Linked DNA regions of Caenorhabditis elegans. The protein of the gene in region 1 interacts with the protein of each later gene in a pairwise test. Each region holds a gene or a part of one and is shown on either strand. Other genes may lie near its edges. The genes, in order: cpr-9 and exo-3.

What was found.
Region 2: the proteins of cpr-9 (region 1) and exo-3 interact in a two-hybrid assay, tested with the Caenorhabditis elegans proteins (2 studies listed by BioGRID).

The regions. Positions count from the first base shown.
Region 1 is NC_003283.11:11,999,262-12,006,397, forward strand, and holds cpr-9 (Peptidase C1A papain C-terminal domain-containing protein), read left to right. Parts: upstream 1-3,791; 5' UTR 3,792-3,912; coding exon 3,913-3,915; intron 3,916-3,971; coding exon 3,972-4,217; intron 4,218-4,313; coding exon 4,314-5,120; 3' UTR 5,121-5,323; downstream 5,324-7,136. Other genes in the region: gcy-33 (guanylate cyclase), read right to left, coding at 1-270, 469-830, 886-1,388, 2,444-2,515; F57F5.3 (ABC transmembrane type-1 domain-containing protein), read right to left, coding at 5,371-5,651, 5,703-5,958, 6,525-6,690.
Region 2 is NC_003279.8:11,905,810-11,913,334, reverse strand, and holds exo-3 (exodeoxyribonuclease III), read left to right. Parts: upstream 1-4,083; 5' UTR 4,084-4,128; coding exon 4,129-4,377; intron 4,378-4,706; coding exon 4,707-5,033; intron 5,034-5,093; coding exon 5,094-5,309; intron 5,310-5,616; coding exon 5,617-5,691; 3' UTR 5,692-5,764; downstream 5,765-7,525. Other genes in the region: hda-3 (Histone deacetylase), read left to right, coding at 1-210; mag-1 (Protein mago nashi homolog), read left to right, coding at 659-718, 790-1,188; NEDD8-conjugating enzyme ubc-12, read right to left, coding at 1,420-1,868, 1,915-2,008; rbm-3.2 (RRM domain-containing protein), read left to right, coding at 2,379-2,400, 2,594-2,672, 2,758-2,914; rbm-3.1 (RRM domain-containing protein), read left to right, coding at 3,361-3,385, 3,604-3,682, 3,738-3,885.

The DNA.
Region 1 (7,136 bases):
CTTCTGATATCTCTCTTGTCATTTCTGTTAGAACTTCACTTCTTCGTTTTTCATTTTCCAACATTGTTTTCAAAGTGTCACTTTTCTGTATTGTTGCCATAATAATTTCTCGATTACAATCAGATTCTCCAAAATCGTTTAAATATAGTCCCATTTTGAACATTGTATCCAAAGTGTCAACAACACACGTGGCAAGTAGAAGAAATGTTTCAGATGACTTGAGAACTGTGATTGGACCACGGAGAGTTACATACGGCAAACTTTCTAAACCTTAATAAAATGATTGAAAGATTAGTGGATATTATTTGAAGTTCTCAAATAAATCATTGGGCCTTATAATATTTTAATGGCATAAAACACTGCTGGCGACCATATGAGCTCGGAAATGCGGTTTTTTGCGTGCCCTTTCGGAGTTTTTTTAAAGAGCCTATATCGTACAACCAGGAAAGTATTTTTTGACAAACTAACCATATTCATTATCCATAACTGTTTTCTTTTCCAATGAAACTTTATCCTCCGTAATATCATTAATTTGAACTGTTATATTTTCCTCTGTTTGTTTAACAACCGGATGTAGAGACTCAATTTGAAATACACAATTCTGATGAACCATAATTCCTTCTGCAGTAAACTTAATACATGGACGTTGCAGATCAAATACATCAGTCATTAGTAGCCCTTGAATATTTGGCATTAAATTGAGAAGACCTTGTCCGGCCATTAAGATCTCGAGCTTTTTGTTGAAGGCAATATGAAAAGGGAACATTTGAAGGAATGATTTGGTGTCTACTGGCAGATATTCATTCAGATTCTTTACGCGTTCTTTCAATCTGAAAATCGGAAATTTTAATTTCAAAAATAGAGCCAAAAAAGATTTTGACTCACTTCAAGTCTTGTCCAAGGCCAACATTATCAAATGAAATCTTAAGAACAACAAAAGTAAATCTTCCTTTTTCTTTCTTTTTCAATACTTGAATTCCAATATCCAATTGATAAAATACTCTTGCCAATTCAACAAGTTGTCCAATTACATAAGAAAGATATCCAGTTCTTCTACTCCGATAATGTAGAATTAAACCATCTTCACTTTCAGATTTACAGTAAAATGACGGAGCTCTGAGTTTTGGATAACTGAATCGAAAATATTCATGAATATTATCAAGTCCTTTGATAAAATCCGAAAATCTCCTTCCCATAACATTCATCAAATCTCCATAACCATTTCGAATCAAAAATTGAACGAAAAATCTTCCAGCGAGAACTCCAATTTGTTCATATGGTGTTCCAGTGATTTCATGAATTGCTTTGAACATTTGAGGAACAACGTGTTCCGAATATTGATCATGAGTTGATACTGACTTTTCTGACAGTGATGTCAGCTTTTGAACCTGAAAATATAAAAAAGAATACCTACTATTAGATAGATAAATTTTCTGAAATTTTTCATTACCAGCAAAACATTTTTTTTTGAAACCAGTTGTTGCTATTTACTATATAAAAACTTCCTCATATGAAATTATACATAATTGCCGTATTTTCTCTATTAAAATGGCATGCCATATTGTATTTTGAAACCTAATATTTTTGTTGAATTTTCAAGTTATTTGGCTAATTCAATAGCCAAATCGGTCATTGTGCAACAGATATATTAAGATCCATATATAATTCAAGACTTGCGAAAGAGTTAAATAACAATTTTTTTTTGCAATTTCATAATCATTTGACAGATAAAATATTATAATATACATAGATGCGCAAGGCTAGTCTCTAAACAGTATGAATATTACCAGCTGGCATTTCTTTGTTGCACTCGAATTCATCCGACACAAAGAGTTTCAACACAGTTAAAGGGGAATTTTATTTTCTATCGAAGCGGGTCTCGCCACGAGATTCGTTTTCAATGTGATGACTAATATAGAGAATCTGCCAAATTTTACTATTTTATCACGTCTCGTTTTTTCTTTGAAAATCAAACTCATTTCAACAAACTTGTGAAACGAAAAGTATGTTATTTAAAATTATGATTTTTTAGTTTTGAAGTTTCTTTGATTTAGGCATAATTGTTTTTTAAAATTGTTGCTTCGAAAGACTGGCTAGCCAGCTGTCTCAAAAGTTTGGAAGTTTTATAACAATTTTTTCTGATATTTTTGGTCTTATGAACATGTAAAGATAAATTTTCTTTAAAAGATAATTTTTACGTCGAATTAGAAAAAAAATCGAGAAAAAATCGCAATGTTCTAGAAGTCTTTTCCGGTTAATGACGTCATAAAGTTTAAAGCTTAATATTTGAATGGGCGCCTTTTTTATATTGGCTGCATAGCTACTCACCTACACATCAATATATAATTGATACGGAGTCATTAAAAAGTTAAATGTTTTCAACTTTCATTTGGAATTTGAAAGATCATTCAAGTTGGTATTTAAAAATTAGAAAAAGTCAAACCTGCAGAAGAACTTGGGGTCCCCAGTTTTCCTGTATCATAAACCGAACACCTTCAATGACCAATCCGTACATTTTGCGGGTTGATTTCTGCTAGAAGATGTTTGAAAATGCTGACTAAAATCTGAATAAGGTGTTTCCACTACCAACATCTTCCAACTTCCGTGCCAGTTTCCGTTAGCTGTACACTGTTGCCCCCTATTTTAATAATCTCATCTTCGATTCGTAATATCCATTAGCTCACCTCTCCCCCTTTCCCTTGAAATACAAATGTCTGCGTCTCTCCCCGCTCGTTGCTCTTTAGGTCTCCCACCTTTTCCTCTATGTAAGGCAATGGTCAAGAGACCGCACAACACAGTGGTTCATGTGTGTATCCCTTACCCCTCCACAGAGACACAGCATAGACGGAGAGAGTCTAGGAGACCGAGGAGAGCAGTATACTTGTCAAGGCTAATTCTCATGCGTTAGGGCCGTGCCCCATTGGCGCAGTCGGTTAGCGCGTGGTACTTATAGTCTATAGGTTATGCCAAGGTCGCCAGTTCGAGCCTGGCATGGGGCAGATTATTTTTGTTTTATTTGAGGTGTCTAAAGTAGTTTAAACGACATTTGTAGCCCCTATTTCGTGTTTTGTAGTGAAATGTAGTCTGTTTGATTTGTGGGAGTTGGAATCGATCTTCTACGAACCTGTGATAAGAATAGTGATAACCTAAACATTGACGTACATGCATCTTTATGATAAACATGTCATATGACAAGTTAAGCAGGTCAAAGTTAATAGCTCGATGTATTCTAGTTAGTATAACAGCTAACACACCAGAGCCAAACTAGCAAAATCTGTTTGAATGTTTGTTTTTAAATTAAATATCAAACATTAATTAAAACAAAATTGATAGACTGGTATGTACTTTAATCCAGATCGTCAATGCCATGCAATCTCGCATTATGGTCGCGTGTGACGTCACATTATCTTAAAACACGGATGTTTTTTTCGGGAACCGAAAAAACGAGCTGATAATTGTAAGGAAACTATTTTCAGTTTAAAATTGTACTGCTGGAAAGTTGATATGACCAGGATAGTACGAAAATACACCTATTAAAATGTTCGAAGAATTATTGGAACAGTCTATTACTAGGGATTATATTTAAAGGCATAACACTATGAGAGCACAAAATATAATATTCTTTAATCACCTCTACAACTCGTTAACCCTGCAAATTTTCGCTTTCAAAGTCCAAGTTTAAGCAAATAATTTGAATTCTCCCGCAAACATGCACGTGTCTAATCAGGCCTTTCACTTCGAAATGAAACCGGAGCTAGTAGCGAAATGCCTAATTCTTATCAGCAATATTCGAGAAAACGCCAAACTTCAAAAGTTATCAGTCGCTTGAAACGAAAAAACTATAAAACCCCTGGTAAGCGCTTGATAAATTGGTCGACTGTCGAATTTCCCAATTCTCCAGCCAATCGAAAAATGGTAAGGCTTAATTTTCCTGAAGTTTAACTTCAGTTTCAAAAACTTTTCAATTTCAGAAAACTGCAATTGCTGCTCTTCTTGTCGGCCTTGTCGCCGTCAACGCCTACAATGTTGAGGTTAAGCACGGAGATGCCATTCCAGTTGAAGCTCAAATGCTTCGTGGACAGGAACTTGTTGATTACGTCAACAAGGTTCAGACTTCCTTCAAGGCTGAGCTCGGATCATACTTCAGCTCTTACCCAGATACCATTAAGAAGCAATTGATGGGAGCTAAGATGGTCGAGATCCCAGAAGAGTACAGAGTTAGTAAATTTGAATATTTTAAAGATTTTGAAAAACGCTTCCCAAAAAATACAGATTTCTTTCAAACTAATTTATCCTAATGAAATTGTTTCCAGGTTTTCGAGATGACTCATCCAGAAGTCGAGGATGCTGCTGTTCCAGACTCATTCGATTCCCGTACCGCATGGCCAAACTGCCCATCCATCTCCAAGATCCGTGATCAATCATCCTGTGGATCGTGCTGGGCTGTCTCTGCTGCTGAAACTATTTCTGATCGTATTTGCATTGCGTCAAATGCCAAAACTATCCTTTCCATCTCTGCTGACGATATCAATGCTTGCTGTGGAATGGTCTGTGGAAATGGATGCAATGGTGGATATCCAATTGAAGCCTGGCGTCACTATGTTAAGAAGGGATACGTTACCGGAGGATCTTATCAAGATAAGACTGGATGCAAGCCATACCCATATCCACCATGTGAACATCACGTCAATGGAACTCATTACAAGCCATGCCCATCCAACATGTACCCAACTGACAAATGCGAACGCTCTTGCCAAGCTGGATATGCTCTCACCTACCAACAAGATCTTCACTTCGGACAATCTGCATACGCCGTCTCAAAGAAGGCTGCTGAAATCCAAAAGGAAATCATGACTCATGGTCCAGTTGAGGTTGCATTCACTGTCTACGAAGATTTTGAGCATTACTCCGGAGGAGTCTACGTTCATACCGCTGGAGCCAGTCTTGGAGGACATGCCGTAAAGATGCTCGGATGGGGAGTTGATAATGGAACACCATATTGGCTCTGTGCCAACTCATGGAATGAGGATTGGGGAGAGAACGGATATTTCCGTATCATTCGTGGAGTTAACGAGTGCGGAATTGAGGGAGGAGTCGTCGGAGGAATTCCAAAATTGTAAATCTCGAAACATTGTGTTTGTGATTGCAACTTCAATGCCTATTGTACAATATGTATTCGATTTATAAATATTTGAATTATTCTTATATTTTCTGTTAACATTTGCATACAAACTTGAATTACATATTTTTTTGTCAAGATTAATTCGAATTCTGTTTCTTTTGTTCCAAAATTCAAATTGTTTGAAAAGGGTTATTATAATATAATGCACAGAACTTGTACTCCCAAAAAATTGTATGAAAAATATATGTTCATTGAACAGATAGTAAACGAACAAAACAAAACAAAGTAATGACATAAAAAATAAAAAGGGATAATGAAAATACAGAATATGCAATAAGTAGATACTGCATCATAAGAACAAAATCAGTTGGAAGACTTGTTAAATCAGATACTCCCAATGGCCAATGATTTGTTGATAACATTAAAATCTTTGACATTCGATTATGAGTTTCTGATTTTATCATATCAATATCATTTCCAAAAAGACTTCGATCCATTACTTGACTTATTTCCACTGATTCTATTGCTGCTGAAATAATGTGATTTTTTTAAATTTTAAACTTTTCAAACTAAAACTCACTTTTCATAAAAACTGAATATTTTGGGAATATAAAATTTGGCACAATAATGACAAGCAGCAGAATGGCAACACATTTAGACAATGCCTTTGATGGATTGAGAATAGCTGTCAGACATATAAAACCGACGATCAGAGCAAATATGGGAAATATGACATGAGCGAGCATTTCAATTTTGACGCCATTCATTTGTATGTAATTCCAAAGAAGTACGTTTTTGGAAACATCAGTCACCAGGAGAATACCGGCTAAAAAAATCTGAAAAAATACACTTTTTAGGTATTAATTTATATATTTTTTGTTTTTAAAGGATTAAAGGACGATCCGTTCTTCAAGTGCTATGAACTCTGGGATACAGGTACACTGCCTGGTGGTAGACTCAAAAATGCCACAAAGGCTATGCCTATTTGCGTTCCTTCAATGCTGGCTTCAACATTTCTAAATACAATCTACTCCTATTTTCCCAAGAAAACTCAAACATATATGTACATATCTTTCTTTAATTGTATGTATGTATGTAGGTAACATTCGAAACTAGTTACGTCTGCTTTTTTGTGCCTATGAGAACGCACTCCAAAGTTTTAAACGTTTTAAGCAACATAGCTCATTAAACGTTAAATTCTGGAAAGTACATTTTTAAAAGCGTAGATGAAGCTCAAGACTACATGTATTTTTATTGTAAATCTACATCACATAATGTCTAGATCAGTCTAAATTTCTTCTGAGATAAGGTTTTTTCCATGTGATGTTGCATATATAAAAACTGGATTAAAAGATTTTCAAGAGAGCACACTAGGAAGTAATGAACACGTCTTGAAACTTACTTGAGCATAAGAGAGTACACGAATATAATAAATAGAAGAATCAAAAACTCGAATTTTGCGTTCATAGTCCCTGATCGCAAAATTGCTATTTGTCTTGGTTAAATAATCTCGATAGTAGTCGGTGTAGTCATCTTCCAAATACGGGCGATTCAACGCGAACGGACTTCTGAAAACAATGAAAAGATGTCCTCGAGGATAATTTTGGTGTCAACTACTCGTTTGTTTTGTTTGAGTTTTGCGCGGTAAATTGTAAATTCTTTAGTAAGTTATGCCCTGTAGGGGAAAATGTGGGGTGGCCTTGAATATTGAAATTAGGGTTGACGTCTTGGGAACAGATTAGCGCTTTGGCGGAATAAATGAACAAAGTTGAAATATTGGCATACGGTATTAATTTAGGTTGTGAAGATAAGTATCTAGTTAGAATTAAGTTGAAGAAATTTAGAAAAAAAAATTTATACATACGACATATTGTGTTTTTTTTTTTTAATTCACTTCTACAACTTTAAGATAAGAGCTCATTTATGCGAAATGATCTGGAAATGGAAAAAAATTCACAGTATTTCTGTTGTATAATAAATTTTTAAGAAATCCTCATCTACTGCAAAACATTAA
Region 2 (7,525 bases), on another chromosome or scaffold:
GAGAAACTGATCCGAGATCATCAGAATGATGACGTCAGAGTTACTCAGTTCGAGGAAGACGTTCAGGTGGAAGATTCGGCGGAATTCTACGATGGTCAAGAGCCGGAGACGAAGAATATTCAATCGATGAAACGGCACGCGAGTCCGATTTGTGCGGCGCAAGAGGAGATGAAGAAAAATCGGATTGATGGCGGCGAAAATGTGGCATAATTTGGTTTTAACTTGATTTTCTGTATGCACTAACTTTGTATTTATATCGTCTCTTCAAACTATTTCTTTAATTTATACGAATCTCAACTTCTCTAAACCTCTATTGATCCTCAAATCTATTTAAATCTTTCGTTAAATCGACAATTAAAAAATTTCCGTCGTCAAGTGTGGTGCCGGTGGTGCATACACCGCCGCGCACAAATGCACAGATTTCGGCGTTTTCGAATTTTTATCGGATTTCTTTTCTCTATATTTTAAAGGATATTTTCTATCGTTTCTTGTCTAAAAACACAGTTTTTATCGAATTTATCACAATATAAACCTATTTATCATCTTTCTTTTGTGAATTTTCACTGAAAAATCAGGTTTTTTTACCTTGAAATTCTAATTTTCACCCGGTTTTATTTAATGGATGTTTGGATTTTCTCAATTCCTATTTATTTTCAGAATGAGCGGCGAAGAAGAGAAGGCAGCGGACTTTTACGTTCGTTACTACGTTGGACACAAGGTAGGTCTTGGAAAATCTTGGAAAAATGACAATTTTCGCCAATTTAAATTAGTTTACGAAACAATTTTCAGGGAAAATTCGGTCACGAATTTCTCGAATTCGAATTCCGTCCAAACGGATCGCTTCGCTACGCGAACAACTCCAACTACAAGAATGACACGATGATCCGCAAAGAGGCGACAGTGTCGGAATCGGTGCTCAGCGAGCTCAAGCGTATCATCGAAGACTCGGAAATCATGCAGGAGGACGATGACAATTGGCCAGAACCAGACAAGATTGGACGCCAGGAGCTGGAAATTCTGTACAAAAACGAGCACATCTCGTTTACGACCGGCAAAATCGGAGCTCTAGCCGATGTGAACAACTCGAAAGATCCGGATGGTCTCCGCTCGTTCTACTATCTCGTTCAGGATCTCAAGTGCCTCGTCTTCTCGCTCATTGGCCTTCACTTCAAGATCAAGCCAATCTAATTTAATTCCTTCAGACTCTGTTCTATTTTATCCACCAAATCTCTTTAACTTGTTTAATTTATTCGATTTTCTCTTCTCTTCTTAAGTTCTCAAATTTCTCAAGAATAAATTTTATTTCTTTCAAAAAGTACAGTTAGAAAAAGTCTGAGAGGTGGGGGAAAAGTTAGAATCAAAATCAATTTCATAGGGGGGGTCAATTCACAGGCCATTTGTAATCCGATCCGTTGGTCCTTAGCAATATCTAGAAATGTATTCCCGAACACGATGATTGAACGATTCGCGATTCTGACTCCACATCTGGGCGGCTTGAATGTTCAGCGCGTCGTTGAAGTCCATAAGATCGTTGAACAGTGAGACGAGTCCGTGGACGACGTCGGTGAGGTTACGCGTTGGACGCCATCCGTATTGATCCAACGAGTTTTGACGCAAAATCGATAGACAAATCGATCCGTCCTCGTTGATATTTGGATGCCAAACCTTTGTCAGGCACTTAACAACGGGCGGCACGTTGTTGTACTCTGGCGGGACGGTGATCTTGAATCGGAATTTGCCTCCACGATAGATTCCTTCTTGAGGTGTCACGGTGAGTTCCAACTCATGAAGACACGATGTTGATGGGACCTCGAGATGCCACAGCTTTTGCTTCTGATCGCGAAGAGCAGTCTCCAGCTGTTGGAGTTCTGAAAATGTTGTAAAATCAAAATTTTTTATAAAGCAGCCACATACCCTGAGCTAGGAGCTTGTCACGGACGGCGATGCGGGTTTCAAGATACCGACCGTCCTCGTTGTTGCCGTTGATTCGTTTTTGAAGATTGAACATTCTGAAAGCGAAAAATTAAGAAATACGATAATTTTCAGCGATATAGGCGGCGCATACGGAAACATAGAGAAAATAATCGTTTTTTTGGCAAAATTACAGTGTAAAAGGGTCAAAAATCGATGAAAATCTTGTAATTCAGCGAAAAAACGACAAATTACGTGAGAAAATGAAACAATTGCTATGAAAAATGACAGAGAATGAGGAATAAAAGACGCAGCGTTTGCTAACGCTGAAATGACTAAAGGGGGCGGAGCGCGAACGCAAGGCTGGCACACTTTTACCGCAAGTGCCGCACGGTTTCCCACGAGTCGGAGGAGGCAAGCGAAAACGATTCGAATCACACATATTTACGCTCCGGCCTAAAATCGTCATGTCTGGATTCTCTGTTTACGGTTAGTTTTGTTAATTGTAAATTATTCAAGTAGAAAACTGGAATATTCAGCTTTAAAAGCAGATTTTAATCGAGAAAAGCCGAATTTAAAGTCTGGCCTAAAATTTTTATTTTTCTCCAGGCGTTTTTCTATTTATTGTATTTGATTAGGCTGAGATAATTTGAGTTTTTAATAATTTTAATGCATTTTTCAGTCGGAAACGCTCCATTCCAAACTACCGAGGACGACCTTGGCAACTACTTCAGCCAGGCTGGAAACGTCAGCAACGTCAGGTAAGCTTCTCTCCCCGAAATCTCCTCTTCCCGAAACCTCCTGAACGACGACCCGTTAACTCTCAATATGAATCTCTATTTTCAGAATCGTTTGCGACCGCGAGACCGGACGTCCACGTGGATTCGCCTTCGTCGAGTTCACCGAGGAGGCCGCTGCCCAGAGAGCCGTCGACCAATTCAACGGAGTCGATTTCAACGGAAGAGCTCTACGCGTCAACTTGGCTCAAAACAGAAACAACTAATTTTCATATCGGTACTTTGTTACTTGTTTGATCTTTAATGATCTCAATAATAATAAACCCATGAAATCGTTATCATAAATATATATGCTCTATTTTTTTATTTCGAATCTTCATTTGGGGTCAATCTGATGGCAAGCGTTGAGGCTAGAAGCTTGAAGGAACGGCTTCGGTTCGAGCAAGTTTTGAATCCTGGGCTATGCGCAGCCCAATGTGAGCTTACAACTGAAAATTCAAGTTTCAACACTCTTCGCGGTCTTATTTTGGACTAATTCCTCATATTTTCAGCTTGAAATGGAAAAAATCTGTCGAAATCGATGCTATTCGAGGGGCGGGGCCAAAACGCAACCCTGGCACGGTTTTTACGCAACTGCCGCACGTTTTCTCCAAGGCAGGGTGAGCGGAAAAATTAAACCGTCATAAATTTTCTGCTACGGCCTAAAATCGTCATGTCTGGAATCTTCTCTGTTTACGGTTAGTTTTTTAATAATTTATTTTAAGTATTAAACAATCGGAAACTGGTTAAAATAGCCAATAAAACTCGATATTGTCCTGAAATTTTGGGATTTTTCGGAAAAATCGAATTCGCGAAGTTTTCCCTAATATTTTCATTTGAAAAGGCAATTTTAAGTGTTTAGATTCAAATTTGGTTGCGAAATATTTAAATCAATTAAAATTTTCCTTTTTTTTAGTTGGAAACGCTCCATTCCAGACCACCGAGGAGGAGCTTGGAAACTTCTTCAGCAGCATCGGACAAATCAACAACGTCAGGTAACTCTCCCAGCCAGCCCGAGCTTCATGATTTCTAACGCAATATCTCTTTCAGAATCGTCTGTGATCGCGAAACCGGACGTCCACGTGGATTCGCCTTCATCGAGTTCGCCGAGGAAGGATCCGCACAGAGAGCCGTCGAGCAGATGAATGGAGCCGAGTTCAATGGAAGACCACTCCGCGTCAACCTCGCCAACAAATAAGTTGATCTTCATATCGGGTTTTTGTTACTTTTTTGCTCTTCACTGATCTCATTATTAATAACAATCCAATGAAACTATCGATTTAATTATTTAATTCAATTTCAACTATTCTCTAACTAATCTGTTCAACATTCGGGGAAGTTTCTCTATTTGTCATCCTTCCATCCGCCGACCTGATTCAACTTTCTTCTTCCCCAGCTGCTCCGTTCAAGAGCCTACTCGACTACTAACCTGTTGCTGAAAATGTCGAAGCGAAAAGCAGAAGAAGCACCAGCACCAAAGCTCGCCTCGATCTTCACAAAGAAGGTGAAGCCGGCAGAAGAGGACAATAATCAGAAAAGCTGGAAGTTTGTGTGCTGGAACGTGGCAGGGCTCAGAGCTTGTGTGAAGAAAAGTGATTTTAAGGAAGTGCTCGCCGAGGAGCCTGACCTCGTTTTTCTAGGAGAGACCAAGTGTAAGGAGTGGCCCCCGGAGATGGAGGAGACGTTTAAGGTAAGGAATTCCTGGAAGAAAAGAGATTTTTCGCATATTTTACGGCCGGGTTTCATCAAAAATATGTTTATTAACACATTTTAAACGAAAAAACGTAGAAATTTCCATTAAATCCAAGCGGAAATTCACTATTTTTCCTGAAATCTACAAAGAAAATCGCAATTCAAAAGAAATTTGCATAAAAATAACATTTAAAAGTCAAAATTCTACCAGATTTCCATTTAAATAGGGATATTATGTGCTTTTTAAAAATATTTTGAATGAAATTTTAGCAGAAAAATGCGAGAAAATGGCTGAAAAAGCGATTTTCAAAGCTAATTTTTTTCCAGAACTACACCAAAACCCTCGTCGTCTCCACAGAGAAGAACGGTGGCTACGCAGGAGTCGGGCTGCTCAGCAAATGTGCTCCGATGAAGGTTCACAAAGGAATCGGTGACCCAGAATTCGACACTGCCGGACGTCTGATCATCGCCGAGTTCTCCAAGTTTTACTTTATCGGAGCTTACGTTCCAAATTCGGGCGCGAAGCTGGTGAATTTGGAGAAACGAGGACGCTGGGAGAAGCTGCTGACCGAGAAGATGAAGGAGATGGACGAGAAGAAGCCAGTGATCTACGGGGGTGATTTGAATGTTGCACATAATGAAATTGATCTGAAAGTAAATATATTGTATTAAATTTGTTTTAAAAATTATAAATTAACTCCCTGATCCTTTCAGAATCCAGAATCAAATCGAAATAAAACCGCGGGATTCACAGATCAAGAACGTGGATGGTTCAGTGAGATGCTCGAGTTGGGATTCACCGACACCTTCAGAGCCATGCATCCCGACGAGAAGAAGTACTCATTTTGGAGTTATCTGGCGAATTCTCGGCAGAAAGATGTTGGATGGAGATTGGATTATTATGTTGTCAGCAATCGAATTATGAATAAGGTCTCGTCTGGAAGCTGTGGAAAATTGAAAAAATGGGCAAAAAATGCAATATGTCTGGGATTTTTTCCCGTAAAATCCCGGTGGATACCGAAATTTTGATGGAATTTGCCATAAAAATTTGATTTTCCAAAAAAATTTAGACAAAATCCACCGGGGAATTGAAATTTTTCAGAAGATTTCCATGAAATCCACTTAAAAATTTAGAATTTTACTGAAATTTCGACGTAATCCAAGTGGAAATTCAATTTTTCCACTGGAATTTTGATAAAATCCAAATTAAAATTCAATTTTAATGTTCTTTTTTCAGGTCAAACGCAGTGATATCATGAGCTCGGTGATGGGAAGCGACCATGCTCCGGTCGTCATGCAAATCGACTTCTAAATTGCTTCTGATTATTTTATTTTGTGAATATTGCTTTAAAACTTGTATTTTTGATGAATCTCGACTAATTTTTAAATTTAGAAAGTCTGAAAAAAAAAAACAAATTCATCAACAAGTAACAATGTTTAACAGAATTTCAAAAAATGGAAACAACACGAGATCACTGTTCTTTTTTAATTTCCAAATAGCCAAAGGTGAGCCTAATTTTGAAGCGTGACGTCTCGGTTTCATAGACGAACGGAGCATGTTCTTCGTCTGATTGCTCATGATTGAAAAGCATCGCGAGTTGAGAAGCCTTAATTGTAGAGCATCTGATGATTGCGGATTGAAAGTGATCGGATTTCATGTGAATCTGGAAAAAAAAATCAGATTTATTGAAAATAATCAATTTTCTAAAGTATATCTCTAATCTTGATGGCGTCATCAACCGTGAATTCTTCCATTTTAACCTCAAAACCCGACAAATGGAAGAGATTTTCAATTGGGAAAGTAAAACGGTGATCCCAGACTCGAAGTTTCTTAATCTTCTTCCACTGCTCCAGCTCAAAAAGAGCCAAGTACATATCCATTGTTTCATCAACATAATCATCATAAATACTGTTCCACGTCCTTCTTATTGGAGAGCTCATCAATGCCAATTTCTTCGAGATCTCCCGGTTTAAAATGGGAAACGACTTGGGTAATATCTTGCAGGTCCAGCATGTCAATCGTGAATTTTTTAGCACTAATTTCCGCCTCCGAAGCTTTGAAAGTCTCCTTGAAATTCTCATAGCAGTTAGCAACTTCAAATCTTTCAGTGAATTCATCATTGACCTCCACTTTGAACTCTTCCAGCTTAAGATTCGGATTTTTCAATAGAATCGCCACGTCGTCCAATGGTTTCTTCATATATTCCTTATTGCGAATTTTTTTATTCTTCCGACACGTATACGATCGATAATCTTCGTCATCGTCATCATGGTACAACTCCAATCGATCGTAGCCCATGCTCATCGAGATTTTTTTGATGCCAGAATTGCGATTGTCGATGATAGATCTCAAGTTTCGAGACACATTACGAATAGGAAATCTGAAAATTTGGGTATTAACTATTTTTAAAAATTAAGTAAGCATTGAAGACTGACGTTTCAAATGGTTTCATATCATCCAGAACTTTATGAACAATTTGGATAGGCATATCGGGCAGGCTGCGACTTTTTGGATCATAGCTGAAAGTTATTTTATTTTGTTTAAGGCGCTCTCGCTAGCTTCCCTCATATTTTGAAATGTAAGAGTTTGCCGAACTAGGCCATTTTGACTCGGTCATGCCTGGGGTAGATTTACGGCGCGTTGCGTGTCGCGTCGCGGCTCGGTTAATTACCTCATTTCACAGTCTAAATCAGCATCTCCATTTCCGATTTGATAGTACCAAAAGTCGAATTCGCGATATTCCATCAAACCGTATCCGAGAACATTACAAAACGAGTGATATGCACTATAGACAGACTCTTTCTGAAGATACAGGAACAGAATACATGAGCGAATGGCAATTTTGTTGTTTCGCAGAAGATTCTTCTTTTCTATTATTTTTCTGGAAAATGCATATTATTTAGAGTTTAAACTAAAGAAGCAACAAACTCGTAACACAAATCCATCGATTCGTCGAATTCAGAACAAGAGCAGGAATCGGACTCTGACATTGTACTCATTGGGGGAGTCGAGTTTGTGGATTTGTGCTTAAAGGTAGAGTGAGGCCAGTGGGGAAATTGCTTTAAAACATGCCTTTAAAAAATTCAAAAAATTTTTTTCTAGATTTTATATGATTTTTTGAAAATTGGAAAAATTTTAATTTCCC